Linked DNA regions of Lonchura striata. The protein of the gene in region 1 binds, or shares a complex with, the protein of each later gene. Links are inferred from orthologs where the notes say so. Each region holds a gene or a part of one and is shown on either strand. Other genes may lie near its edges.

What was found.
Region 2: the proteins of KPNA4 (region 1) and RANBP3 are in contact, whole or in part, in a crystal structure (PDB 5XZX), measured with the Homo sapiens proteins. The link is inferred for Lonchura striata from reciprocal best matches to the Homo sapiens genes KPNA4 and RANBP3. Residues at the interface, in NP_002259.1 of Homo sapiens: Arg96, Leu99, Ser100, Asp102, Arg103, Pro105, Phe133, Trp137, Thr140, Asn141, Ala143, Ser144, Gly145, Thr146, Ser147, Thr150, Glu175, Gln176, Trp179, Gly182, Asn183, Gly186, Asp187, Asn219, Trp222, Val225, Asn226, Arg229, Asp261, Trp264; in NP_015561.1 of Homo sapiens: Asn114, Tyr115, Cys116, Pro117, Pro118, Val119, Lys120, Arg121, Glu122, Arg123, Thr124, Ser125, Leu127.

What each region holds. Positions count from the first base shown.
Region 1 is NC_134612.1:25,417,298-25,432,489, forward strand, and holds the start of KPNA4 (importin subunit alpha-3), read left to right. Parts: upstream 1-8,702; 5' UTR 8,703-8,790; coding exon 8,791-8,859; intron 8,860-15,192. UniProt on the Homo sapiens protein: Functions in nuclear protein import as an adapter protein for nuclear receptor KPNB1. Binds specifically and directly to substrates containing either a simple or bipartite NLS motif.
Region 2 is NC_134630.1:1,316,456-1,331,631, reverse strand, and holds the start of RANBP3 (ran-binding protein 3), read left to right. Parts: upstream 1-7,966; 5' UTR 7,967-8,060; coding exon 8,061-8,082; intron 8,083-15,176. UniProt on the Homo sapiens protein: Acts as a cofactor for XPO1/CRM1-mediated nuclear export, perhaps as export complex scaffolding protein. Bound to XPO1/CRM1, stabilizes the XPO1/CRM1-cargo interaction. In the absence of Ran-bound GTP prevents binding of XPO1/CRM1 to the nuclear pore complex.

The DNA.
Region 1 (15,192 bases):
TCAGGACCAATGGAGTTGGTCCTCACGAAGAAGTCTGTATAAAAGAGCGGGGTATTTGGAATAAATCAGAGTTTTATTCTCAGCAGCCTTCTGATCCAGGTCTTCTCATTGGTGTTACCAGGAGGGGAGGAGAGGGGACAGCAGCTGCTGAATTTCGGCAACAGATCCTGGCTCGTCCCCTCACCCTTTGGCTCCCCGTGTGCCAGGAGGAAAGGAGAGAGGACGGTCTGCTGGTCAGGGTGTCACATACAGACTGCACACCTCTTCACTAATAAAGGCATAAACCCTGTTCACCTCAGTCCCCAGGAGTTTGTGGCACTTGGGCTGCCACGCCACCCCTCAGCCCTGTCACCTTGGGGTCCCCTCCCTGTCTGTCCCCAGCAGAGCTTTGTCCCTGTCCTGTCCTTCCCAGGAGTGCCAAGGGCAGTGCAGCTCCCGTCTCTCCTGATCAGATTTCCCCAGGGTTTTTGGCTTTGCTCCCAGCCGCTCCTCGGAGTGACCTACAGACATTTATTTACAGACATTTACATTTACAGACGTTTACAGACATTTACAGCCCCGTTTCACTGTTTTCTGCCACGTCCTTCCTCAAAGCTCTCCTCTCCCACCATGCATGCAAACCTCCTGACAATGCTTTATGAGCCGCGGCTTTTGATGAATATTTTTATTATTTCCTTGTTCTCCTCATATTTATTCAACTGCCTCACAAGGTGCTTCCATTGGTGCAAAGATCATCGTTTTGTTCTGGGTTTTTACTTTTGTTTTAACCTCTTGTTGACTTGTTTTTACTTTGTTTTATCCTTTCTATTTGCCTGGCCAATGAGAAGTTTCCAGGCCTTGTATTACCCTGATTCTGGCAAAATACCTGCAAAAATAAGTAATTTTGTGAGTTTGATAAACCACCTGGCTCTGAAACCTGAGCCATGCATATTGTTTGGTTTCAGCAATTATAGCTGGGAACAGCAGCAAGGATTTTATCGATCCAGACAAAGGCCAATCTCCTCTGAAATTCTGCTTGGCTGTTAAAGGGTAACTGTGCCTTAATCAATAGTTTTCAGGTATTTTATCTAAAGCACACACGTTTATCACTGAGGAATGTGAGTCCCTCAGCTTTCCCTGAGGAACTCAGAGAAGTTTTATTTCTTACAGGGCCATCCCAGATGGCTGTGGAAATCCCTCTGCCATTTGGATGTAACACAAAACATAAAAGCGTTCTGCAAACAGCTTCATTAATAATGATAAATTCATGTCTGGCTCCTCACAAGGTGGCTCAGGGCTGGATGCCTTTCCCAGCAATAGGGAATAATTTCGGATTGAATTCACGTGGATTTTCCTTTATTGAGAATTAACAATAAAGGGAATAATTTTGGATTGAATTCTCGTGGATTTTCCTTTATTGAGAATTAACAATAAGGGGAATAATTTCGGATTGAATTCACGTGGAATTTCCTTTGTTGAAGATTAATTAATAAAGGTTTAATGTACCTAAAATGTCTGTAGGTGGTCACGCAGTTCTTAGGTGCCCATCAGTATTGAAACAGCTTGAATTCTCTGAAAAGGTGAAAAAAAAAAGAATTACAGAAGAAGAATTTAAGGAGTTAATCTGGAGGGATGGTGGGGGAAGATAAACGACTGCAATACCAGGAAAAAGGGGAAGCGAAAGGAAAAGTGAGAAAATTCTTAGGCCAGAGTACTGAATGTTGTGAATACACAAAGCAATAGAAAGCAAAAAATAAAATAAAATAAAATAAAATAAAATAAAATAAAATAAAATAAAAATTCCTTCCCAGCCATTAATTTTGCACTCTGATGCAAAAGCTGCGGCTGCTCCTCTTTCAAAATCAACATTTCATGTGTGCAATCCCTCCTGGAGCTCACAGGGGGAACTTCCCTGTGCTCTCCCTGAACGGTCAAAGCTGAAGGCAGCAGTTTCACAGATAAAATAATATCAGGCCATAAAGATTATGTAACTTTGCAACTTTGGAGAAAATATTCTGCACAGAACTGTCTTCTCATAGCAACTCTAAACAGTCTTAATCCTGAGTGTGAATAGTTAAAAATAATTAACATATTGAAGTCAAACCTTGTGGAAATGAATTATAGTTTCAAATAACTCTTCAATTTAACCTACACATTAAAATTTAAAATTTCTTAGCTGTCACCTACACTGAGCCCTTTCTTTTTGACGCTTAAGGTTTTCCACTGAGTCATTTGGATCATTGATTATTTAAAATACCATTTATTGCCCACGCTAACGGGTGAATTTTTACAGGCTGGGCTTCCTCGTGTGCTGCTGAAAAGCCCCCGTCAAGCACTGAGGAAAAACCGAGAAAAACACCAGAAAATTGAGTAATATTATTAAAAAATATTTGTATAAAATGTGTTTCCTCGCTGAGACATCTTGTGGTGTGTGAGGCTTCCTGCAGCTCGTCAAAACGAAACTATCGGGTTGCAAATTCAAACGGAGCGCGAGAACTCTCTGAGACTTAAACCAAGCAGCCAAAAATCGCTTTTTTTAAACAAAACCTGCCTCAGTGCAGCCCCGATGGGCTTATTTTCAGAGATGCTTTTCAGTTTGGTAAATACAAATATATTAAATATATTAAATACATATATATATAATATAAATATATAAAAATATAAAAATATATAAATATATATATGTGTGTATATATGTATATACAAATATATAATTTCTGCTCTGTAGGTAAAGCCCACATTTTTTTCATCAGGCATTAAGATGAAGTTTCACTTTGTGGCACTGAAAATTCCTAACAATGAGTGATGTCCAAACTGCCCAAACAAGCACGTTCCTAAATGGGAATTCCCATTTTTTCCAAAGTCGGTGGTGATTTGGAAGAGCCCTGGTTACCAGTTCATAACCGAAGTGAGATTTGAATATAAAGAGGAATAATGAGCATTAAAAGAAAGGGTTGAACTGGGTGATCTGACAGAGGCACAGATCCCTGAAGCTGCTGAAATGCTCCGTAATTCAGGAAAAATGATGTGCCCATTATTCCCCCTCCAAAGAAAAGCTGAACAGAAATATTACCATTTATCAGCCAGCAGAAAATCAAGGAAATCTCAGTCCTGAGCCTTGGAGAATGGGCCTCGTTAGTGCTGCTGCTCAGAGCTCTCATTTTCTCCATTACAGCAGAACAAAGAGAGATGCAAACTTGGATTATTTTCATTTCTCTGCTCAATACCAAGCCCGAGTCTTTCAAAATTCCTTATTCAGCCCATGATTCGAGTTTCCTTTCAAACCGAGCCTGAGACACAGCACTGACAGCAGCAATCTGCATCTGGACATTTACATTTTTGTTGTGTCTTGGGTTTGCTCCCTAGAAGTGTTAAAAGCCAGAAATAAGAGTTTAAACCTCAGCTGCTCCCCAAAAAGTCTCCGTTTTCATGATCCTGTCAGTGTTTCTGTGTCCAGCATGAACCACATCACCTAACACGTCACACTGAATTATCTGAGCATTTGTGCAGATTGATTTTTCAAATCCAGTGATCAGCCTTCCTTTTGGAAACCTGAGGAATTAAAGATGGAAAAGCAGCTTCCCTTCCTGCAGTCAAGTGGAACAGGATCCAGAATACTGGAGCTCCCAGACCTGCCAGCAGATCAGAAGTTTTCCTTTCCTTTTAGAAATATGCTTGAACTCACCCCAAACCAGCAGAGATAGAAGCATTTTTTTTTGTCACTGTCCCACCATCAGCAGTGCTACAAGGATTTGTTTTAACATGGAAAAAACACATCCCGGGATCTTCCAGGGCACACTGACATGACTCATTTCACTAACCACTTCTTCACTTTTTTTTTCATCCTCAAACGATTTTTTTCCTTTCCTTTAATAGGAAAATTATACTGTTTTTTTTTTTTTTTTTAAGGAAAATTTCCTTTAGTAGGGAAATTGTGCTGGAAAGGCAAAGCAGCTGGACACCAGCAGGGAAGTGCAGCTCCACAATCTGCTGATTGAGGATTGACTCCTCTTCTTCTTGAACTATTTGCAGCTGATGGATTTTTGGGATCTACTCCAGCTCTGGTACCAAGGAATATTTTTGCCAATGGTCACATCGTGACCTACAAATTTGTCTGCAAAAGCTCTGTTTTAGCACATTAAAAGCTGAAGGTTTAAGGGCTGAATTGTAGCAAGGGCAATGATGCAAATTAAAGGCAATCCCCCCGTGGAATGTTTTTAACTTTAACTCGTGGGGAAATGCTCATTGGGGGTGTTTGACGTTCAGAGGCCTCGTGGGATGAGATCCCCGAGGCAGCTCTGAGGGACACAGCAGAGCCCAGGGCTGGTGGGAATGAGGGAGAGATCCCAAAAAATCAGTGCCACAGCCAGCCCTTGGCTGCCCTAAGGTGTGAGAGGGGCCGGAGCAGCTCCAGGATCCCAGTGGCCCACCCAGAGAAAGGGTTAGAAATGGAAAAGCAGCGAACCCTGGCACACTGGCAACACCTAAAGCTGATTTTCCTTCTCAAGCCTGTGCAGTCCATCATGGTAAGAAGCTGGTTTTAAAAAGTGAGTTTATAAGTGCCACCCTGACTGAAGAATCTTTTCTTGAATTGCAAATACTTCTTTTTGTCTAAATAGAAAGAAAAGCAGAACACAGTGTAACCAGCGGTTCTAAATGAACAAACCCAAGGGAAACAAGCACAGGAACTCTGCAGCTTTTGAATGAAAATGTTCCTCCACAAGGGAGCAAACACTGCTGCACTTTGCTGCTTTTATTATATATAGAGATTAGTAAAAATATGTAAAAATATGTAAAATATATTACATTTTTAAACTTATATTAGTATTTACTAATATTCATTAGTTAAAAATATGTTAAAAATATAAAATTTATTTACTAACACCCCGTTTCTTTTCTGTGTAACTCCATATAATAATATCCAAAACAAGCTTTGCTCTTGCTAAGTTATGAAGGAAGACAGCAGAGCTGTCCAGGTGTCTGTGGGTCAAATCTTTGATTATTCCTCTCATCCAAAGCACGTCAGCCAACTCCCATCAAAAACCTCCTTCCAACCTGTCTCTTGCAAAAGTCAGCACAGCAGCTGAAAGATTATTATAAAATATCCTCCCAGCAGCGGGCTGCTTCTTTGTTAATAGCAGCTATTCCATTTGGCTAAACCCCAGGATTAATGGGTGTTTTTCTGTGTGCAACACAAATCTTTGCAGCTTTACATGACATTTTGTTTCTTACAGGAGGGAGATAGGGCTATGAAAAGCCATTTGCAGGAGCTCCTTTCACCTAAGTGTACAGTTAATAAATAAATTTTATCTATTTTATATATGTTTTTACTAATATATTAGGAACAGCATTCAGATCAATTCACATTATTCCTCAAAAGAGGTGTTTAAGATAAGCTGAGAATTAAACATTTTCTAATTGCATAATGAGGTTCAAAATTCACAAACTGTGAATTGTAAAGAAAATGTGAACCCTTTGTAAAACAAATCTATCTGTTGCTTGAAGGATAGGAAGGTGAGCAGATCCTAATTCCCACCTTGATATTTGCATTATTATTTTCCAAGCTAAAAAATATGCAAAAAATATTAAAGAAGCAGAGCTTTGTTCTGTAGCATCACATGAAGTTCTGAACAGCACCATACCATGAGAATTTGTGTTTTATGCATAATTTATTATGTTGTAGGCAGCTACAGTAAAAAAAAAACTGTAAAAAAAAAACCTGATTTAGTAAAAAAAACTGATTTAGAATCAAAATATCCAATTGTTTGGGGTTTTTTTAAAAGACAGCCCAGTGACACTGGATCAAGGGTTTGAAATTGGTCTTCTGAGTGTTTTTGTACTGTGATCCTGAGGTAAAATCAAACAGAAATTATTCCTCTGAAAGCCAAGCAGTTTAATTAGATTACAGTTACACAAAATGCACTTGATTAATCTCTGATGTCTACAATGAAATCACAATATAAATTATTCCTTGGATGATATCAGATCAAAAGACCACCAGAGGATTGTCTTCCTTCATAACTTAGCAAGAGCAAAGTTTGTTTTGGCTATCATTATATGGAGTTACACAGAAAGGAAATGGGGTGTTAGTAAATAAATTTTATATTTTTACATATTTTAACTAATAAATATTAGTAAATACTAATATAAGTTTAAAAATGTAATATATTTTACATATTTTTACTAATCTATATATATAATAAAAGCAGCAAAGTACAGCAAGATGATTTTTGGGCTGGATTTGGAGGAAGATTCTCCAGGACTAGAATTTAATAGGAAAATTGTATGCTTTTTTAAAGGAAAATTTAAGCCAGGATGTGCTGCCTTTCCCATTCCATCCTTCCCACACCAGGGGTGGGATGGGCACGTCTGGGGTAACAAAAACATGGAAAAGGTGGTGATGGAAAGGGCACCGATGGAATAAAAGGGTTTTGTTCATAAAATTCCAGGCTGTGTCTTACACAGGGGGGATTTTTTTACCATCATATTCGGACAAGTTCTGAGCACTGGGCAGGAATGGAACACATAGTTCACACCAGAGTCCAGTTTCATTATTCATCATAGAATTTCTGCCTAATATCTAATCTAAACCTATGCCCTCTCAGTTCAAAGCCATTCCCTGTGTCCTGTCCCCCATCCCTTCTCCAAAGTCCTTCTCCAGCTCTCCTGGATCCTCTTTAAGCTCTGGAAGGGGCTCTAAATTCTCCCTAGAGCCTTCTCGTCTCTGGGCTGAACAATCCGAGCTCTCTCTTCTTTCTGTAAATGAAACAGAGCACTAAATAAAGATACTATTTTTTAAAATTTTATCTCTATGTATTCTTTTACAACATTACCACGTGGCAAATCCGCATTACATTTTAAAAAGTAAATAGCTGTATCAAGAAAATGTCATTTTTGTCCATCCAGACTGGGATGTGAAAGGGTTGCTGTCCTACACCACTCTTGGAGAAAATGTTTTATATCCTCTGAGACAAGCCATGCCTCCATGGAATAGCACCAGCATTAATTAGCCCCGACTAATTTACCCTCCTCATATTGCTGTGACATCGCTGCCACATTTGTGCAACAGACGGGGCTGCGGTGACTCAGCCTCTGTGACTTTTGGGGTTTTTTTGGAGAAATATCTAGATCCAAGCCTCGTCCTCTGGGAAATGTCCAGGGATAAAACACACATAGTCTGAAAAACCATTGTTTTCCTCAGGAGCTAAATCAAATTATCTTTCCTGATACTCCTCAGTCTCCGAGGGACTCGGTGACTTCATTTTCACACTTGGGAAAAACATCCCCTGTCATAACTTTGATTTTTCTCAACAAGTGTCATGGAAAATTATAATGAGCTCTGTCAACATGGAAGACTTTACAGGGCTCATTTTCAATCATTAAAAATAAGTAGAGACTATATGCAGGGTCAGGGCAGTACATATATATATATATACATACATATATTATATATATATATATATATATATATACACACACACATACTCCACAGAATTCTTCTAGTTATGGTACACAGGCATTATTTTCCAGGTAGAATTTCAGAAGTAGGAACAAAATTACCATCCCCTCTGCTCCGCAAGTGTTTCTCTCTATTGTTTTTAATACTGTTTCTCTTTTTTCTTTTTTTTTTTTTTTTTTTTTTTTTTGCTAAAATTCTGGAAGACTGGGAGGAAGGGGGATTACTCTAGGCAAACGAAAGTGTAAAGAGAGTGAAGATTGAGGTGTAATTTTTGTCTTCATGATGCAAATAAATGCAAAGTGTAATGAGGGGAAGGATTAAACTTGATTTTTTGACTCCATGATGGGGGCAGACACAAATTTTAGCGAGGGGAAGGATTAAACTCGATTTTTGACTCCATGATGGGGGCAAATGCAAACTTTAGCGAGGGGAAGGATTAAACTTGATTTCTTGACTCCATGATGGGGGCAGACGCAAATTTTAGCGAGGGGAAGGATTAAACTCGAATTTTGACTCCATGATGGGGGCAGACGCAAATTTTAGCGAGGGGAAGGATTAAACTCGATTTTTGATTCCATGATGGGGGCAGACGCAAATTTTAGTGAGGGGAAGGATTAAACTCGATTTTTGACTCCATGATGGGGGCAAATGCAAACTTTAGCGAGGGGAAGGATTAAACTATTAACTTTGGGCTCTGTGAGGGGAGTGAATGTAAAGTGTGGCGAGGAGAGCGCCAATTCTCGGCTCCATGAGGGGAGTGAACGCCAAGCCTAGCGAGCGGAATGTTTAAACAGCCGGCTCCACGAGGGGAGCGAAATGCAAGCGCCGTTGGGAAAAGGATTAAAAGATAAATTTTGGTCCGCTCCCGGCAGCAGCGCAGGCGCGGGGCGCGCCCGTCCCGCCCCAGCCCTGCCCTCAGCCCTCAGCGCCCAAGATGGCGGCGGCGCTGAGGCGGCTCCTCCTTCCTCCCCCTGCCCGCGCTGCGTCACCGCTCCCGCCCTCTCCCCGCCCGCCGCCATTGGCCGCGGGGCGCGCGCGGCGCAGCCAATGGGCGGCGGCGCCCAGAGCGAGGCTCCCCCTTCTCCCCCCCCGCTCGCCCCGTCCCTTCCCCCGCTCGGCGGCACCGGCGCGATCGGGCCGCCGGCACCGGCCCCGGCCCGGCCCGCTCCAACCGCCCGGCCCCGGGCCGCGCTCCCGCCCCGCGCCGGCCCCGCCGCCGGCCCCGCCACCCCGCCCCGCCACCCGGCCCTTCCCGGCTCGCTGAGGCCGACTGCGGGCCCGCCGGGCCCCCGGCGCGCTACGGGCCCGGGCGGAGGCGGAGGGGCCGCGCTCCTCCCTGGCCGCCCCCCGCCATGGCCGACAGCGAGAAGCTGGACAACCAGCGCCTCAAGAACTTCAAGAACAAAGGCCGCGACCTGGAGGTGAGCGCGGCGGGGCCCTGAGCCGCGGGGAGGCGGCAGCGGCGAGGGAGGGAGGGAGGGAGGGAGGGAGGAAGGAGCCGCCGAGGCCGCGCTGAGGGCCGGGCGCGGCCGGGCCCGCGGGCTCCCGGCGAGGGGCAGCGGCCGCGCCCGCCCGGGCCGGCTCCGGGCCCGCTCCGGCCCCGCTCCCGGCCCCGCTCCCGGCCCCGCTCCCGGCCGGCTCCGGGCCGGCTCCGAGCCCGCTCCGGGCCCGCTCCGAGCCCGCTCCGAGCCGGCTCCGGCCCCGCTCCCGGCCCCGCTCCCGGCCCCGCTCCCGGCCCCGCTCCCGGCCCCGCTCCCGGCCCCGCTCCGGCCCCGCTCCGAGCCGGCTCCGGCCCCGCTCCGGCCCCGCTCCGGCCCCGCTCCGAGCTGGCTCCGGCCCCGCTCCCGGCTCCGGCCCCGCTCCGGCCCCGCGGCTCCTCCCGGGCGGCTGCGCCCGCCGGGGCTCGGGGCCCGGCCCGGCCCTGCCCCAGCGGCCCCGCTCCGGGGTGGGCTCGGCGGAATCGCTGCTGGAACAATTCTTCTCCCAGCAGCTCCTAAAAGCCTGAGTCAGTATTAGGGCCCTACTCTGCTGCGTGTTTCCAGGATACCTAATTAAATAAATAACGCCGTAACTTTCATAGCAAGATTATTTTTTTAAAAAAACTCTTATTTTTTAAATTCTCTTTTTTTTTTTTTTTGTATTTCTCTTTTCTGCTCAAGCCGTTCTGCCTTGTAGCCCCTGAACGCTGAACTTTTTGGTGGTTCAATTATTCGAGCTCTGTAGGTGCTTCCTAAACACAGCAGGATAAGTAATTAACTTGGGGTTTCCTTAGGAAATAAGCAAATTTTAAAGCTAGGTATCAATCCTCGCCTTTAAACACTCGGCCAGGAGTGCTGGTTGGAGGTTAAAATTGTCTGTTCAGGGTTGTGGACAAGAATCTTGGCATTCCTCGTGGCTGTCTTTTGCTAGTTTCAAAGTGTCCCTTGTGTTTTCCATAATATTCTACTCTTATATATGAAGACATTACAATGTTTCAAAAGTGAAAACTCCTTTATATTCCCTGTATTGATTTAAACGTCAGTTTCCCAGGAGTCTGTAACACCTGGATTTTTAACCTGCCCACTTAGATTGATAGAACATTTTATTACTCAGTTATGCCCAAACTTTTGGCAAAAATATTGTGAGTGGGGATAATTAATTGCTCTGCTTGCTAACAGTGTTGTGAGGTTGGTTGGCAACCCCTCGCCTTAGATACTAATTTATTTTTATATCAATTTTGTTACCACTGAATAGGCAGCTACAGGAAGGCATCTTTAGGAATGCACACAGAATGTTCCATTACAGTGAAAAATGGGATTCATGAGTAGACACAGGCTGGAATTCAGGTGCCTTGGTGCAGAATTTCAACGGGAAAGGGCTGAAGTAGGGAAGGTTCAAGATGGACACGCAGGTAACACCACGTGGGAGTGTGTCAGAAGGCAGGCAAGCTCTTCAATCTTTTTTTTTTTTTTTTTTTTTTAATTTGCTGCAGCACTGAAACGCCTTTTTCCACAGCCCAAACCCACTGCTGGGTCGTGTTAAATTTTAGAGAGTGACATTTATCCAGCAAATCCTGGAGCACATGCCTGCTCCCTAAAATAACCACGGTGCAGGGCTATTTTTCATACAATAGCTCAGGCTTCTGGCTGTCCCTGCTGCTCATCAACTGCTTACACATCACACTGGGCATCAGGCTGAGGGAATTGCTGCTGCCCACTCCCACCCAACCTCCAAAATCCGGCTTGCAGGGCTGTTTGGGCAGAAATTTGTGTATTTATTTGGCAGAGGAAACCAACATTTGATCTTTATCTCCTTCACTCCTCCCCCTTTTTTATCTGCGCTGAAATTGGCCCTGGGTTGTTTTTACAAAACTATCGGGGTTTTTTTTAATTTTCCATTACAGTTTACCCCTAGAGAAATGAGAAATCGCCCGAATTTTGGTGAATGCCAACTGGAGAGGTTATGAAAGGTTGCCATGTTGTGAATTGCAAACTTCCTAAAAATGTTATCTCTTAATTCCATGTGCTCAGATCAGTCCATTGACAGTTACAGTTCCTGTCACACTGCCCTTGCCTTCCAGGTTTTACATATTCACTGGAAGTTCTTCTATTTCTGACCAAAACCAGGGAATTTCCTACATTTTATCCCTTAAAGTACCAAACATTTTTCACCTTTTTGGCTACTCCAGTTATTTGTTTTCTTTTCCCCAATATGCTCCTAAAAATACAAATTCTGGCCTGGAAAAAAGAGGAAAAAAAAAAAAAAAAAGCAAAGCCCAGCAGAAGCACCTGTTTTACATAAGGTGTTTGACAAAATTCCTTCAATGCTGAAGTCTTGGGTAAACATTTCCTGCACGGGCATGTTGTAAATAATTGCTGCCATGTGTTTGGGGATGACAGATTGGTGGTGACACTGGGAATTCAGGGATTCACTGGGACCAGAAATCCCCAAGAATTCCTTGTCCTCTCCCTGGTTTCTGCTCCTGCTCAAAGGAATACACGTAATAAAGTTTTTAATAGTGGGGGAGCAGTAATTTGGAGCTGAGGCAGCATCTCTGGGGGGAATTTAAGATTTCTGGTCAGTGCTTGCAACATTTTTTTAGGGTCCTCAAGATTTTAGAGCTGTGGGGGATAAATAAAATTGGTTCAGCACAAAGAGGAACCTTAAAAACTGCAGAAGTGTGGCCACAGTTTTAACCTCCAACCCCAGAGTCTGAATTGAAGAAGGGCTTATCTGGACTCATATTAAATTATGCAAATACTGATCCATTAAGGAGCAGGGTAAAGTGACTTTTTTCATCTTGTCTTCAGTGAGGAACAGGTTTTACTTGGGTTTTTTTTCCTTGGATGAGAAGGGTTGAGCTGGTTTTTACTGGTTGTTGTGGGGATAGCTGTGCTGACACCCAGCCAACCTTTGTTTTTAATGGTAATACCACAGATCTTGGAGTTAAATTCCAGATCTTTACTATACAAAGGCCAGATAAGTGCAAATTTATCACTGTGGCTGTGCTGGAGTTTTATGGACAAATTGAATTTAAGTAATGCCTTTTTACTCCTGCATTTAGGGGTCTTGATTTGGGAAGTTTTGCAGAGTTTTGGGATGTTTTATTTGCTTCATTTTCTTTCACCTGGTGATTCAACATTTCATTTTCTCTTGGTGATTGTTGCCTGCTGCAGCATTGCAATCTGACATTTAAGAGGGTTTTTTTTTTTTAATTAAATAAAAAATATTTTCTGCATTTTATTTCTCTGGAAATCCTGGATGAATCTGCTGAATCTTTTCTCCCCTGCCTCACCTGTGTTGCTGGGCAGGAGATTAAGGATTGCTTGAACAGTGCCAGCACAGGAGAGGTGTTAAATTGAGATTTCTGCTCCTCAACTGAGAGATGCATGAAGGGAAACGATGAGAATTCCGTGATGCAGAGCACTTCAAAACTAATTTTGGAGCAGCCATTGCATCAAGATGCTTGAAGATCAGTCATGTCAGGATTTTAAGAGTTGCCAGCATCATTCAGTGGACTTCCAAAATACCAATGTATTTGGGAGCACCAGGGAAGCTCCAGGGGAGTGCAGGAAAGGTGGTGGTGTGGGATATATTGAATATTGCAGGTACTTTGAAGCTTTTCAGCCCTTTCTGTATCCCACACAAAATAGTCTGCTTGGGATTAAATATGGAAGAACTGAAGGAGAGCAGGAATTTCACTCAGTGAGATAAAAATAGGTTCCTTTAAGCTGACTTGGAGTTCTGTGGTGAAGCTCATCCATCTTGTCACTTTCCAATGATACTGAGATATTTGTTTAAGGCATTTTCTCTGCCATGCACAGCTTCTCCAGGAAAAATGGGCCTGGTGGCACATGTAATGTCATATTGATTTTTATTTTTTATCAGACTGCCATTTTCATTCTGAAGTTGCTGAGATGTGACTTCTGGGGGTGTCTTGGGTTGGCTTTATGATCCCAAAGCGTTTTTATCAGTGATATTGAGAGCAGATTTCATTGCTCCACTTTGGAATTGAGATGGGATTTTTATAGGAGGGGGATAATGGATGGAGGAGGGCCTGAATCACTGGATATAGCTGAGGAAAAATAGTCTGGTTTCAGCTGTCTGTTCCCTGTGGGGTGTGTTTTGTTTTTATTTGGAATCCCAGACCACACTGGTGCTGGTAGCAACTTCCTGGGAAGGAAGGAAGGATGGCACAACCAACTCATTTTTTATTTACAATAACTGTTGACTTTGCAGTTCCCCAACAGAAACAATGAGCCTTTGGAGACCATTCCCTGGGAGAACGAGAGCAGCAGCCAGAGTTCTACAGTTCCTCCTGTGCTGTCAGACCTCCCTGCTGGAGGTGCAGAAATGGAGTGGAACGTTTTAGAACAGCAAAAAATCCCCACCCCACCCAGGAGTGAGCACAGGCTGAGTTCCTGATCCCTTCAGGGAAGGGATCCCCCTGCCAGGAGTGTTTAGGAAGGGCTGGTGCATCCCAGAATGTCCCAGGATCCTGCAGGCATCACTACCACGAGATTTTAATGATAAGCTGAGGGACTCAGTTATGACTAATGGTCAGAAATAACCCTTATGATAAATCTGAAGCTAAATATAATTGAAAAAAGGAGGATGGAGGGATGACCATCGTAGGCCGACAGAAATAGACCGGCTCCTTTGATTTTTGATGTACAAATGACAAACAGGATCCAGAGACTGGGAGAGCCACGTGAATTCCTGACAGAGTGGTGTGTGTTCTTCAAGTGGAGCCCTTCCCGGGCCTTCTGAGCTCTGCTGTAAAGCCCTTTCTGGTGAGAGTGGTTTCCTGTGGTGGTGTGAGCTGGAGCTGACTCACAGAGCTCAGATCTCCCCCGAGCAGAAGCAATAACTCCCCACGTGCCATGACCACCATCCCTCATCTCTGCCCTTGGAGCTGTTCTCCAAAAGCTGCACGAGTCCACCTTGGCTCTGTTTGGCATTTTACTTTCTCCAAACTGTTCCATCTCTGGCTGGGCTGGTGGCACTGGGAAAGGCCATGGCCGAGCTGGCTGCAGTTCTCATTTGTGCTGCTTTTCCTCCTCCTCAGAGGATGAGCAGTGCCAGGTTGACCTGTAACTATTCTGTCAACAGACTGTGTTTACACAGTGATTTTAGTGGAGCCAGGGTTTGGTAAATCGTTCTTCAGAGTATCTTCACTGCTGGATTGTCTTTCATGTGAAGGCTTTTGTGATTCCAAGGTGTGCAGGCAGGAATTCAGGAATTCCTGACAGCTTATGCCAGGAGGGAGAACATTCTTCTTGTCCTGGCAGAGGATCCTTTAAAGTCTGATCACCTGCAGATAGGATTTTTTAAGTAAAGGATTTTCTAAATGACCCATCTGAGGCTTTTTGGTTGTAATATTTGTTTTGGTCCCACTCAACTGTCTCTGTCAGCAGCGGCTTTGCTGTGAGCAGCAGTGTCTCCCCGGGGTCTGGGAAGAGCCACCCCTGTCCCAGAGCAGCTTTTGGGTGGGAATGCTGATTTTGTTGCCTGAGCTTTGGGAAGGTGTTAAAAGCCCTGTGAGATCATCGGGGGCGTGGTACAGTTCTGCAATCTGATTATCAGAGGCTTTCCTCACATTATTTTCATTTTGGATATGGCAGATCAGTGGAGTTTGGAGAAACTCCAGTGAACATTTGAGAGCAGGAGCCTGGAGCACCTAAGACAAGTGGAAAGCTGCAGCATCTTTGCAAAGCCTGGAAGTGCTGGGTGGGATCCAGCTGGGGATCAGCTTCTGGAGCTCAGGGAAACATCCCTGGAGTTATTCCTGCCTTGCCTCTGCTCTTCTGAGCTGCATCCACTGTCCTGGGGGCTGGGCATTGCTGGGGAATCCCAGGCTGGGGGTATTACCAGCAAAAAATATAATATAAAATCAGCATTCCCACCCAAAAACTGCTCTGGGACAGGGGTGGCTCTTCCCAGACCCCAGGGGAGGCACTGCTGCTCACAGCAAAGCTGCTGCTGCTGACACAGAGACAATTGAGTGGGACAAAACAAATTACAACAACAACAAAAAAAAATGCCTGAGCTCCTCTCCTCTGGCTCTCCCAGGTTGCTGAGCTGCTCCTGGCACTTTGCATTTCCCAGGGCAGGAAGCTGTCCCTGGGGGAGGTTGGATTTTCCCCTCAGCCCCTGCAAAGTTCTGCTCCCAAAGCAGCAGGGAACCATCCCTGCTTTGCCACTTCTTCCTGTCCTTAACCTTTTGCTTTGGGGAGCTGCAGTGCTCGACTGAAATCCGATCTGATGAGCTGCAC
Region 2 (15,176 bases), on another chromosome or scaffold:
GGTGAGCTGTAAATAAACTCAGTGAACATAAACGGCTGAGCAGGGGAGGAGACAGAGATCTGGAGATCTTCAAATAAGAGCTGAGACCCTGGAGGGCCCTAAGGTTACCCCAAGCTGGAAGAGAAGAGCAGTTAATGGCCTGCCCATGTGGACATGAAGAAAGAATCCAGTGAGGTATTAGAAGACCCCAGATCATAATTTGCCATTGGACTAAGAGGCATGTACAGAGCATGTGAAGAGCATGTGAAGGTCAGGTGCACAGACTGTGAGCAGATAAAAGCCCAGGAGTTGCACTGTTCAGTGTCCCACTTCGGAGGCACCAGCTCAAGCTGAAATAAACTGTCTGCCTCATAGCCTTTCTCAGAAGAGAAGGCCCTGGGGTGACCTCAACTTTCAGTGCTTGAAGGGAGCTTGTAAGAAGAGAGAGTGACTTTTTACACAGGCAGATAGTGATAGGACAAGGGGGAATGGTTTTAAACTAAAAGAGGAGAGATTTAGATAATGCTGAGTCATTAGGAGGAAATTCTTCCATGTGAGAGTGATGAGGCCCTGGCACAGGTTGCCTAGAGAATCTGTGGCTTCCCCCTCTCTGGAAGCGTTCAAGTCCAGGTGGGACAGGGCTTGGAGAAACCTGATCTAATGGAAACTCTCTCTGTCTGTGGCATGGGATGGAACAAGATGGGCTTTAAAGGTCCAAACTAACTCTAACCTGTCTGTGATTCTATGACTATACACCTCTAGATTTAGGGTCTTTCTTTTGTGGTCTTGTGCAGAGCCTTCTTTAAATGTCGATAGGCCAAAATCCTGAGGTTGGGTGCTACAACACAAGGTACTAAAGCAGGTACCCAGTCAGAGATGCTAAACAGAGAGGTGACAACCCAGTTAATTGTATAAGCATAGCTAAAACCACGGACATATAATTTTTCAGCAAGAAATGGTGAAAAATCAAGTGCTTGTTTCCCCATCTAGTGGTTATATTCAGAAGGAAGAATGTTCCAGTAAATATTAAGCTGCCAGTCTCTGGAGGCTGGGGCCATGTGCATGCACTAAGATCAGACACTACAAATGTGGTCTCACGTGTTTTTGCACCTTGATCCTATTTAGATAGACCAAGACTTGCAGTTATAACTGTCCATCTCCTCTTCTCCTTCTACCTGCACAGCCCTTTTAGAGAATCTTTTAAGAGTGCAAGAAATCAAATATATCACAAAATTATAGAAAGGTATAGGTAGAGTAAGATACTTTGTACTTTAAGTTCCTGCTTGAAACAAAGCTGTCTGCAAAGTTAGATCAGGTTATTCAGTCAAACTTGATCCAGTTAAATTTGAAACACTCCAAGGATGAAAATTCATCACCTCAGTGAATATACCACCTCAGTCCATATACTAGTACTGTTCCACCAGCTTAGGAAATCACTTGAATAAAACAAAGTCCTACCAAAAAAAGATGTTCCTAAGTCCTGCCAGGGAATGGGAGTGCAGGTTCCCTTTTTCTTGCACACTGTGATGTCTGCAGAGGAAGATGCTGTTTGCATTTTAGCTCTAAGGTTGTGCCAACAGGCTTGAATTGCCAGGGTCTCCCAGTAATGCAGGGTGGGAAGTAAGATTTCTCAGCTTTTTAGTTCAGGCCCTCAATAGCACTAATTAGTGACAGCCTTGCTCATGCTTTCAGGCTCTAGAGTTCTGGGCCAGTGTGTCTGGAAAGTCACAACTCAGGAACAGCACTGACATTGCAAGTTAATTAGAGAAGTGAACGCTGGACTATGAATTCTTCTAAGGCACTTCTTTGTATTTGTGAGTGGACTTAGTTGCCCTTGCACAGATGCGCTTTACTAGAAGTGAGCCACATCTTGTAAAAACCCAGCTTGCTTCCTCTGAGAAAAAAACATCAGGAAGGTAGCTTTAATGACCCTCTTGTAGTGTTTTTAGCCCTTTGCTCCTAGGTCTTGTGTTTTGACAAATTCCTTCAGTCTCTCATGCCGAACAATCCTTTGCTCTCAGGGCCCCTCATAAGCTTCCTTCTTGTTATCCCAGGTCACCATCTAGTGGGTGCTGGAGATCCCACCACAGCCAGGGAGGAGGGCTACGCCATGGCCTAAGGACATCAGGCTGCTTTTTTGAGCAGCCTCTAAGCGATGCCTGGATGAGCAGAGCTGTGTGCTAGCGGGACATCGCTGGAATGTTGAAGTTTCACTCAACGGGGCTCTTGGTTACATACAAAGGGTTTAAAAGAAAAAGCCTTCCCCTTTCCTTACAACTGGAGAAAGACTGATGGCTCTCTTCCCTCAGGGAAAATTTACAATTCAGTCCTCACAAAGGAGGAAACAAATGCTTCATGAGAAATCCCCTGCTGAGTTAAAACCTCTGAAAACATTAATTGTGGTAACCAACATCACTGTCATGTTGTTAAAGACCCTCATATGTGGGGTGTGTGGCCAGTCCCACCCCGATTAATTTTGCGTTAGGGTTACATGCAACTATTAGTTTCCAGGGATGAACCACTGGCTTCACATTGCATGTTGCCTGAAAGCAGGTTAACAGATGTATTTTCTTTATTGTTGGAATTTCCAGCAAACAAGTGCTTGAAGATACTTGGCTTTGCCACTGCTAAGTCACCCAGTAGCATTAATATAGCAGTTTCTGGCTCACGGTCATGATGTCACAGGAGGTGTGACCTGCCACAAGAGAGAGCAGAACCTTAACAAAATATTCTGAAGTGGATCTGTAATACCCACAGAAATGGTCTAGCATCTGGGAAATCATGTGACATTGGTTAGTTGAGTGTGACATAAATCCATGCTGCTGTTGAAAAAGGAAGCCCTATTCCTCTTAAGGTTGCTTGTCCTTGACAGCTGTAAAGAATGAGTTATCTGAGAATTAACTACATCAGTTCAGAAACAAGTTAAAAAATAGGTTTCAAGTGAATCAACTCAAGCAGAACCTAAGTTATACAGAGTCCTGGATATATTTTCCCAATTAATAAGAATAACTGTTCTGCTGAAAATCATAGAGATGTGGGTAGAATGGACCTTTGGAGGCCTCAGGTACAACTTTCTGCTTGATCCAGGTCTGCTACCAGAAGCAGACAAGATGGTATATTAACTGACCTACATGGTATGAGCATCTAGAAACTGCCTTCTTGTCCAGGACACTGATAGAGTGATACAGCTAGAAATGAGACAGTGATTACCTGTGGTGCTGTCTTCACTCTAGAGCATCTGTTTCTTCTTTTGCTGATGAATGCTTATGACAATGGATCAAAATGCCACTGTCATGCTATGGAACAACTGTGAATGCTTCAGGGTCTGAGTCCATCCAAATTATGCTCTCAGAAGTAGAAAGTCTTTAAACAGGGTGGGTTGATTTGGGCTGGGGTTTTCTTTGTGAAGTAGCTTTTTGCCTTTGTGTTTTTGTTTGTTTGTTTGTTTTTCTTTTGTTTGGTTGGTTTTTGTGGTTTTTTGTTTGTTGTTGGCTTTTTTGGTAGTTTTTTTTTTTTTTTTTGAGAGCTCAGCTATGGAATAATATTTAATTTCTCAAAGTCATAGTGACTTTTAGGCCATGTCCCCTTAGAAATACTGACCTAACAATAGTACTAATCAGAAAGTATGGCATTTATAGTATCTTAATGGCATGCACCCAAAATAGATTCTAGTTATATCAGCAAGTTGACAAGCTCATAGGGTACAGATAACTCTTGTAATTAATTTCTAAAAGTCACAAGAACTGTGAAATTGGTGTGGATGGAGTTTACTTTTTACTGAAGTAATAAATTGCTAGAATCACATTTATCCTGGTATTACTACAGATCTACTTGAAGGTAAATTAAATCATAATCAGAAACCTCCCAACACTGTTAGGATAAAACTGTTAATTTTCCTCTCTTACGTTAATGATTCTGAGAAATATGGGCTCTAATTAGAACATGAATAGAGAACACACTGTGAGCTGCTGGTTCTTCAGTGTATGCAACTTTCTGAGGTACATTATTTCTAAAACACTCCCCTTAAATAGGTCACATCACTCACTATGCTGGTATCACACATTCATTAGAGAAGCATAGGACAGTAATTCCTATAATTAAAGTTGTCATTATAAAAGCATTTTCATTATAAAAGCATGTTCACAGTTTCTTATTGGTTTAATAGGTTTTAATGTTCTAAAATGAAATTTTCTGTAATGGATATCTGTATCAGAATAAGTACTTAAATAATTGTTGTTTTTTAGACACATAATAAGTAATTACTCTGACTCTCACTTTTCAAGACTAGTGTTTGGCTCAGTTTGTAGGACATGTCTGCTTTGGGAAAGGAACGAAATTCCATAAAGACTGGAGCTAGGTCAGCCATGCTGTATATCCCTGAAAATTACAGTTCTTGTGTGAATAGAGACATGCCAATTCTTTTGGCTAAATTCTCTGCAAATTGTCTGCACCAAATGTTCTCCAGGGAAAAGGCACAGACAGGGTCTAGAACCACACACAGACTCAGGCTGCCATGTGGACATCATGCAGCTGTCAGCACTAATGTCCAGCCCTGTAAGCTCCCAATGGACACGCACAAAATAAAAAAAATCTTGCAAAGCTATTCAAAGTCTCAGGTCATGATCAGATGATATGCTAAAATCAGCTTTAATTCATCTGGGATCAAATTAAAAATGTTGCAGTCCCAGATATCTGTGGATTCCATGGCTGGAGCTCTACCCTCAGGGAAAACAGGGATTACTTGTTCAGGACCATGTAGCTTATTGACTAGTGGTAAGTTTATTTAAGCCAGGTAAGCATGATAGGACCCATCTCAGGTGAAAAGCAAGATTCTTAATGATATTTTCTGCCTTGGTAGCTGGAGAGTGAGAGGTTAAACAGAGCCTCCTACTGCTTAAAGTACTGCCTGGAATGCAGACCTGGTAGTAACTGATCTCCAGGAACTTTTAAAGCTGATGGAATGTGTCTGTTCAGTAACATCAGCCAGCTTTCAGCCCCCTCCCACACAGCCCACTGGATCCCATGGACTTGGGTGGTGTCTTGGTATGAAAAGACAGGTGTCTGCTAAGGAAGTCAGGAGCCTCCCCTGAAATGGAAAATGTAAACCCCCTACCTCCAAATTGTTATAATTTTCAAATTAAGGGTGCTCTCAGGCAAAGATATGGGAGCAGGAATAACAGTTCTTTATTAGGGAAAGAAAATAAAAATAAAATAATGCAGTTATACAAAGCAACACTGGCAGAGTGAAAATACAACCAGACACTTTGTGGGTCAGGGTGTTGGCAGCAGTTCAGTTGAAATGGTGGCTGCAGTCCTCCTGGAGTGACAGATGTGGTTCTGTTGAAGCAGTGATCCTGTAGAAGGCTGTAGTCTTCCTCTGAAGATACAGTGGTGGTGTAGATGGGCCTGGCCTTTCTCTGAGAATCCAGTCAAAAAGGCTGCCCTGATGTCCCAGATTATATATTATCAGAGATTATATCCAGGTAGGAATGCTTGGCTCCTCCCCCTGGGCAGAGGATCTCCCAGTGGGATAATATCATTTTTATCAGTCATGCAGTGACACTCAATAACCCATTAACAGCAGATGTCTCCCAGGAGATTGGTTTGTGGAAGAAATATAGGAAACTGTCCAACTAACAGAAGATAACTGCCACACATCTAACAGATGGGAATAGAATACACACATTATCTTGCAATCTAGTACAGGTGGGCTGAGAATTCTCCAGAGATTTTTGACTTGATCTTGTCTCTGAATCCTGTCTCAAAGCTCAGAGACCTGAGCTTGGTGAAACTAACTTGGTGGAAAGTAAGACCAGGAAAGCTTTTGAAGTCCCTTGGCAGTGTCAACTCTAGTTGACCTTTGGACTTCCTAATACCATCTCTACATGCTAAAGAAGTATTCCTATATTCCACTTCAGTAGTCTGTCCTTGCTTCCATCCCATGTATAGTTTTTTTGTGTTAATTGACAGGTTCTATATTTACCAAATTAGTCTCCCAACACTTATGCCTCTGATTGCTGGGACAAACTGTTCTTTGGCTTGGAGGAAGTCCTTATCACACTGCCAGCTCTTTTGAACTCCTTTGTTCTTCAGAGCTAACTCTCACAGAATCTCCACTTGAATAACCCAAAGTCATTCTCTTGAAGGGGCTGCAGTCTGCCATTTATCTTTGTCATGCCTCTCAGAACGGTGAATACCACAATTTCATGACTGTTACAACCAACATGACCAGGGATTAACATGTCCCCAAACATTCCTCTCTTGGTCATGAGTACCAGGTACAGCTGGGTGTCCAGTTGAACTAGATGGCTATCTAGCAAGTGTGGTAAGAATTTTTCCCTAACATGGTTTAGAAAACACCTGGATTTCCTGTGCCCACTGTCTTGCAAATTCAACTGATAATGCAGCTTGCACAGCAAGCAATCATAAAATTCCAAAGAGTATTGTCTGATCTATGGAAGTATTCCGTCATATGCTGAAGATGGACATTTACTTACAGATAGGTATTTTGTATTTAAAAATAGGTATCCTGTGTGGTGTATTCAATGTGCTGGAGGGAAAGGATACCATGCAAAAGAACATGGAGTGTTGCCAACTGCAACTCCTGCAAGTTTGTTAGGGCAATCCCAAGAACAAACACAGGCTGAGGGGAGAAAGGATTGAGAAAAGGCATGGGAAAAAGGACTTGTAGGGGCAGGTGGATAAGAAGCTCAACATGCCCCAGCCAAAGGCACTGGCACACAAAAAAACCCTCTGCCAGGCTCATTGTCCAGCATGGGCAGCAGGGGAGGGGGCTTCTGCCCTCTGCGCCACTCAGATGAGACCCCACCTGAAGAGCTGCTTCCAGCCCTAGGGAATGATATCAGAGGGATGTGGAGCTGCTGGAGCCAATCCAGAAGAGACCACAGAGATGCTCTGAGGGCTGGAGCCCCTCTGCTCTGGAGCCACGCTGGGAGAGCTGGGGATGCTCACCTGGAAAAGAGAAAGCTCTGAAGAGACCTTATGGCCTGTTCCAGTACCTAAAGGGGCTCCAGGAGAGCTGGAGAGACTTTGGACAGGAGTCTAGAATGACAGGACAAGGGGGAATGGCTTCCCACTGCAAGAGCACAGGGTTAGGTGGGATCTTGCCAAGAAATTCCTGGCTAGTAGACTGGTGAAAGCCAGGGTTGACCCATCCCTGGGTGTTCAAGGCCAGGCTGGATATGGCATTGAGCTACCTAGTCTAGAGAAAGGTGTCCCTTTCTATGGAAATGGGGGGAATGAGGTGGGCTTTAAGGTTCTTTGGAACCCAAACCATTTAGTGATGATTCTGTTTTTTTTTTTTTTTTTTTTTTTTTTTTTTTTTTTTTTTTGTTGTTGGTTTTTTTTTTTTTTTTTTTAATTAATACAATTTATTTACTCCTAACACGTTTTGTCAGTTTTGCGGTTATATTCCTGATGATGATTATCCTAGCAGGCAAACCAGATGGTTTCAATGGATGGGACTTACAAAAGGAATCAAGAGCCTGGCCCTTGGATTCTACCTTCAGCTAGTGTGATAGCTTATGAGGGATGTAGTCAAATGAAGGGCATCGTGCATGCTGCTGTTAAATGAACCTTGAAACAATCCATAGAGGTAAGACGAGAACCATTAATTGCTCAGTTTATACCCCATGTGCCAGCTGCTCTTGAGCGCAGGACGAGGCACCAGGAGCAGCTCATGGTCTGCCCGCCTGGGCTCCGCAGCCACGGGAGGACGGCAAGGCCGCGCACGGGACGGAGACCCGCAGGCAGCTAGCCCCGTTCCGACCGCCGCGATACACACGGTGCGCGGGCCGCAGGGAGCGATCGGGCCAACGCAGACCTCATAACGAGTCGGCCCACGGGGACGCTGCCCAGAAAGCCCTCACGGAGCTGCAGCACCCATGGGAAACCCATCGGGCACCGCGCGGAGCCCGCGAGTCAACCAGGGGCGGCCCTCCGCGCACGCGCGGCGCCGTCCCGGAGCGGCCGTAAATCGGGGCGTGCGCGGCGCGCGGGGCCTGCGGTGAGCGGTGTCGTTCTGCTGCGCGGTGCATTGTGGGTGCGGCTGAGGAAGTAAAATGGCGGACCTGGCGAACGAAGGTAGGTGGGAGTTGCGGGCGTCGTTACTCTGGCCCACAGTGGCCTTGCGCTGCTGTGGGCCTAGGCTGGTCCGGCCCGGCGATCCGCGTTCAGGGGCCGGTCCGGGAGCGCCGCTTCCCCTCAGCCGTCCCGGTCCCAGTGGGGAAGGCGGCCGGACAAAAGGAGCCCTGTGGCCGGGTCACCGCGCTGTCCGCGAGGCGCGGGCGGACGAAGCCAGGCTGGGGCCTACGTCCTTAGGTGCTTCCCGCGGGTCGGTGGTTCTGGGCTCACTCTGCGGCTGCTCCCGGGGCAGGTGGCCCGGGGCCCGTGCTCCCTGGACGTGGGCCCGGCGCTGGGCACGGGCCCTGGAGCACGGTAGCGAGCGCTGCGTCTTGGCCCCGGCTCTGAACCGCTTTGTGCCCCGCCATGTCCAGTTGCTTTTTGAAGTTACCGTCCACAGTTTTCGTACCACTGTAGATCTTTCCTTTGCTTACACTCTTGTTAATCCTTTAGTTAAAGGATTAATAGAAAGCCTGTGTAAAGCAGGGTGTCATAGTAGATGCATTGTGGGTTTTTAAAGCTGAAAATATCAGAGGTGGTCTAGTAAAGTGGCTTCATTTTTTTCTGAAGACCATTAGAAGAACCTGGTCTACAATACTGCAGTTTTGGGTATTCTTCCCCAAGGTGTGTACAGTGGTGTTTCAAGTGGCAGTGGGTATCCATATTTTGCCTTTGGGAATGACAAATGTCTCTCAGGGTTTTGGCAAAAGCCAGTTTGCTGTGTTGTCTCTCATCATTCTCAGGTAAAGGAAGAGGGAAAGAGATACCCAGAGTCAGGTGAATGAAAAATGTGTGTGTGGCTCCTTCTTTCAGGACAGTTTCTTTCTTTTGAACTCTGTGTCAGTGGCAATTACTGTTCTGATATTAACGTTAAACAATAGGAAGCAAATAAATGTTGGTGCAGCCTTTGAAGATGAAGCCTACAATAAGTTAACAATACAATTACGCTTAAGTTAACAAATCCTATGATGCAGCATGTCTTGGGCTGTTGGCTTCCAGACTCAGGGTGAGTTGTCAGTGCCTGAGGAGGCATGATAAGTGATCTCAAGAATAGTAGTAGCCAAATATGTAATGACTATTTGCAAGAAACTTAACATAAGTACTTATTTTATATACTGCTATTATAATACTTTTTAATGGGTTCTTTTGTTCTCTTAGAATCAGAAGCTTGGCAATACCTATCTTAAGTCATGCAAGCCCCTCACTTTACTCCCCTTTGTGCTGGGGAGCATTAAGCTCAACAGTTTACCAATACTTATTACATCTTTTGGTGATGACTTGTTGTGTGCTTCTATCTCTACTTCTTTTTTCCTGCAGGGTCTTGTAGACTGCCTGGGATGGCAAGGGGGAGTGTGATCCCATCCTTAAAATCCTTTCCTGCCTCCAGAGACTTACTTCACCTGTAAAAACCTCTTTAGTTTATACTCGCCTTTCTTCCACAGTTGTCACCTTCATCTGTTGCTGTTCTGTTTCTTCTTGCAATAAGAATGTGATAAAATCTTTCCTCAGATGAAGCAAGATCGTCTTGCTTTGAAACTGTTGTCCCCTCCTTCTAATATCATTGACTGTTGCTAGTTTTGTTCCTTTCAGTGCCATTTTTGAGATGTATATTCTTTGTATAACAGTGGAAATATGTGCACTTCCTGGATTTCGCATCTTTCTCCAGAAACTTGAAAAATTCTATAGTCTTTCTACGTGGCTTATTTGCAGACTCTGTCATGGCAAGGATCTTCTCAGGTGACTGTTTTCTCCTCGTTCTTAAGCACATCAGTGAGTTTATTTTTCCGTTGTTTAGGTGAATGCTTTACTTCCTTGTGCCCAGGTATTTTAATCTAAATATGTGACGTAACTATTTTGGTACTGTTAATTCTTTTACCTTCTGCTTCATATTGGTCTTCTGTTGTTTGTACCATTTGATAGCTCAATGTTCATGTTCACAAAAAAGTGTGATTTCAGCGAAGTTCTTAACTTTCCTGAATCTCAGTTAATCTGTACAACAGTGCTGTCTCAATTATACTTTGTTCTGAGGTGTGAAGCTAATTATTCTTTGACACACAGGCCATATAAGTACCTAGAATGAGGTTTCAGTCATTCTTGCAGACTGTTTTTGTTTGGTGTGTTTAAACAATAGCTTTTATTGTCTGTTCATGCAGGTGAAGCTCAAGATTTTTACCTGTTTGATTACTGCAACAAACCTTTTCCTGGCCTTGAGAAGTGCCGAGATTTGTGTGTCTTGTGTCCTCTCATCTTACTAATATAAAGGTCTTTTAACCTGTTACTTTTACCATGACACCCGTCTTTAAATTCATTGATTGGTGTTTCTGTTTCCAACAGTATATTAGTTATGTTTACCTTCTAGGTTTTGATGCTCTTAAACTGTTGGATGTCTTAAATCACTGCTGAGCTGTCAGTACTGCCTCCAAGTAACCATTCTGCCAATGTCTTTTACAATTTTGAGCTTTTTAAATGGATGATCTTTTTGTGATGCATTTTGTCAAAACTGCAAGCATTCTCTCTAATAATTACTTCATTTTTTTTTATTCTTGTTGTTCCTCAAGTCTTTTTCATCCACTTGTCTTTGTTTCTAATAAATAGGTGAAACTGCTCCCCTACCTCTTTATATTGGAATAATGACCAACTGTATCTTGACAAGAGAAGGCTGTTGGTTTAAGAGGGCCCTCTACTACATAGAAGGGGGCTAAAAGATGACATAGTTGCAGTGCCACTTACCAAAGAAGTTTGTACTGTGAAGTTTCCTGGGAACACATCCTGGTCTTGGCATTGCCTGTCATGGTGGCAGATTAGTTGATAAGTGTGGAGCTAATGAAGAGGAGGAGGGAGTAGTTTCTCCCTAGCTGTGTGAAGTTTGATCGACTTTGCTGCAAAGATGTAATGACATTGTGATAAAGGTTTTGGGGACTGTCGTTATGAGGGTGATTATTGAAAAACAGGGATTTAGACTGGTAAGAATAATTGTTATTGGTATTAATGTATAAAGTAGTTACTGAAAGTTCTTAGAAACTTTCTTTGAAGTCTTTGGTACTTGACTGCCACATGCGTGAAGTGTCAGTGTTAAGACAATCCAGCTAGAATACCAAAGAGAACTAGGACCTTACTGTTGGTCCTATATATTTATGGGAACCAGAATGCTTTTCTCATTAACTTGCAGCTAAAACACAACTAGTAGTTTGCTTGTCTGTAACTTACTGCTGAAGCTGCATTTTTAAGACAACAAGCTCCCCTTGTGTGGGGAATGAATTAATCTTTTCAATGGCTGAAAAGCAGTACAAATTTTTCTCAGGGCTAAAATTTGATGGATGTGTACACATTTTCCTTTCACGAGGTGTCTGTGACTTACTTGGCTTTATGAAATTGCTGAGCATACAGCACAATCATAACAGATTTACTATATGTACCTGCCTTGAATTAATTAGAGGCTAAAGAGCAGTGGTGCAGCAAGAGACCTGGGGGTTCTGGTTGATGGCAAGTTGGATCTGAGTCAGCAGTGCCCTGGAGCCAGGATGGCCAACCATGTCCTTAGAGGCATCAGGCCAGCTGGGTGAGGGAGGGGATTTGTCTCTCTGCTCTGCACTGAGGCAGCTTCATCTTGAGTTTTAGGGGCAGTTTTGGGCACCACAGTATAAAAAAACATTAAGCTAATAGAGAAGTGTCCAAAGAAGGGCCACAAGGATGGGGAAGGGTCTAGAGGGGAAGTTGTATGAGGAGCTGCTGAGGGCACTTGGTTTGTTCAGCCTGGAGAAGAGGAGAGTAAGTCTTGCAGTCTTCAACCTCCTAATGAGAGGCAGGTACCAGTCTGTACACTCTCATGACTAATGAGAGAACTTGAGGAAACAGCATGGATCTGAGTTGGGAGGTTTAGCCTGGATACGAGGAAAAGGTTTTCCACCCAGAGGGAGGTTGAGCACACAAGGCTTCTCAGGGCAGTGGACTGAGAAGCACCAAGCCTGAGTTCAATAAGTGTTTGAACAATGCTCTGTCACATGGTGGCCTTTTTGGGATGCCCTGTTTTCCTGGTGTAGGGCAAATTTGGGAGAAAACCTCTGAAGGGGTGTTCCTCTAGAAAGCAGATTCAAGCTGTCCTCCCCCAACTGGTTCATTAAAAAGTTCCCTTGAAGAAAAGTGGGAAAAACCCCTGCTGGCAAAGCATTTGCCAGCACAAAAATTGAACAATATTAAACAATAAAACCTTGCCACTCTGAAGAAATTATAAACTCAGAAAGTCTCCTTTGTGTGGTGTAGCTCAGCTCACTCAGTCTCTCATCAGACCCTCCAGTGCTGGAAATGCCACGGCCCAGCCCAATGGGCCACAGATGCAAGCTGCCAGTGCTCTTTTGGGTGTTCAGTCAAGAGCAGGTTTGAACAGTTCCAAGAAAAAGAAAATCCACAGTCCAGGGAACTTGTCTGGCTCAGTGAGCTAAAAACTAACTAAAAGCAAGGGAAAGCTCTGTCCCGCTATCTGTCTGTACTGCAGACAGCACAGTCCAGGAGAAGGATGCGGGGGAGCAAGTGCAATTTCTGATAATAAACTCCAGGGTTCTGCTCTCTCCCTCTTTGCTCTTGGAACTGGTCTTAATGGTGCAGAACTTATTTCTAGGCTAAACAGACTAATGGGGATACAAGCATCATAAAGTCATTTCAGGACACTTCACCCCTTATCCCCATATAGTCAGCTTACTACCAAAATTAGTATATATTCTAACTCAGCACTTGTGTGTATTTATATACACATACACAGTATACAGCTATATACAGACAATGGCAATGACATTCATCAGACAGTGATACTTACACGTAGTTCTCACCCCACAATCAGATCTCCCTGAGGTACACATCATGTTGTTTCATCTTTCTGCATTATCCACTGTGTACAACCTGGTCCCTAAGCAAAGACAACCCCACAAATGGGTTTGTCTGTACTCAAGGCAGCATTGATCCAAACTGTCTTCCCTGACAAACCTCTGACATGCACCGCTGGGACTTTGGCTCTGTCTACTGTATGCAGGGTGATTCAGTTTACCTATATGGGTATGCTGTGTGATGAGAGCAATTCACTTGCTCCATGTGGCATGGTGGGTAGAGGGAACCTTTGCTATGAGCATCCACCCCAGCACCGGTAGTCAGGGTGCCAGGGAGAGTTGTGCTTTGAGTCTCCCCAGGCACCTCCTGCCAAAGGCTCCAGGACAGACCATGGTTCCCAGCTGCAGAGTAGAGCATGTTCTTCACATCAGGTCCTGTCCTGTTCTGACTGGGCCAAGGGCTACTGCATGAGCCATTTCCTGCTTGATCTGGGCAAAGTCTTGTTGCTGCTTAGGACCCCAGTGGAAACTGTTCTTGTGGTTGACTAGGTAGAGAGGGTCACAATCTTACTGTACTCAAGAATATGCATTCTCCAAAAGCTTATGGCACCTAAGAAAGCTTGTGTTTCCTTCTTGCTGGTTAGTGGAGACATCATGGTGGTCTTGTTGATGACCTCAGTGGGAATCTGATACTGTCAATCTTGTCATTTTACCTCCAGGAATTGAATCTCTTGAGCAGACCCCTTGACTTTGCTTTTCTTGATGGCAAAACCAGCTTTCAGGAGAATCTGGGTGATTTTCTCTCCTTTCTCAAACACTTCTGATGCTGTGTTCCCCCATACAATTATGTCATTGATGTACTGCAGCTGTTCTGGAGCCTCACTGTTTTTCCTGGGGTTCAGTCACCCCAGGACACCTGTGCAGGGCCAGGAGTGTTCCTAATGGGTCCCTTCCAACTCAACATATTTTATGAAATACACAGAAGGTGAGCAAACTGAAGTAGTTCCTTTCAGACTAATCAGTATAATTTCTTTACCAGACTTGTAGGATGCTGATTGCTTCCGTGCCATTTTGGTGGCGGGGCAAGGGGTTGGGGGTTGCCCTGGTTGTTCATTCTACTTGTCTCATGGTAGCTTTTGGACAGAGGAAGGTCTGCTGTCACTTTGAGAGAAAATGTGTCATTCACCACTGACTGCTGCAGACTCTAGAAACAAGATTTTTTTTTTTTCCCCTATGGTGACTTCAGATGGATTAGTGGTTGCAAAGTTAGGCTGAGTGACATGTCCAAATAATTCACACCCTGGCATCATAAAGAGCTATTTAATTGACAAGGCAGAGCTATCTTAATGCCTCAATACTTCTTGTGAACACTTTTTTGAATTATTTATATATATTTTATCTACATTACCAAATAGTTGTCCTGCCTCATGGCTTTTCCCTCTGGTATGAAAATAAGCTACTTTTTTCTTTTCTGACTTGTAACATTTGCAGAAGTATCTCTTTTCACCATGTCAGTTCTAGTCATCATGAGAAGATAGGCCATAAATTATCCAGTTGTGTTTCTTGTTTCTGACATGAGGTATGGCTGGATTTTGCTTGTGGAGTTCTTTCTGCGGATAAGCTCTTAGTGGCAGCTTGCTCTTTGCTTTGAGTCTATTGTTAGCTATTGAAAAATAATGCTGTGTTGTTATCAACATCTTTTGAATTTTATAGTACTGCATATGATCTGTATCTCTTCATATGTTAAATTTAGCATGATTATTCTGCTCTTCATAATGTAAATGGTGAAAAAATCCCCAAGGACATTTTTTTGTTGCCTGCAGTGTTCCAATAAGCATAATTAAACCTAACTTTGAACTTTTACTTTCTTGACTCTTAGGTAAGTGTTTTGCAAGTGATAAATTATCACTCTGAGTATTTAAAGTCAATTAACAACCTAATTGCTGTTCTTTTTAACACTCACTTTTTCTCTCAAGTGATCTATTACAAAGAGTTACAGTTGGAGTAGCTATTCCCAACTTGTATGCTTCTGGTGTTGAAGAGTCCTTCTTGAAATTGAAGCAAGGACCTGCTTGCCAAGAAGTTGCACTGTAGGTTTTTTTTTCCCCTGCCTCATGTAGTTTTCCATGTAATCAGGCACTATTCAATTTCTAAACGTAATTTGGAGTAAATTTAAAAAGAAAAAGTTTGAAACATTGTTATTCTTAGCTTTAAAAATAAATTCTCATCTTAATGCGG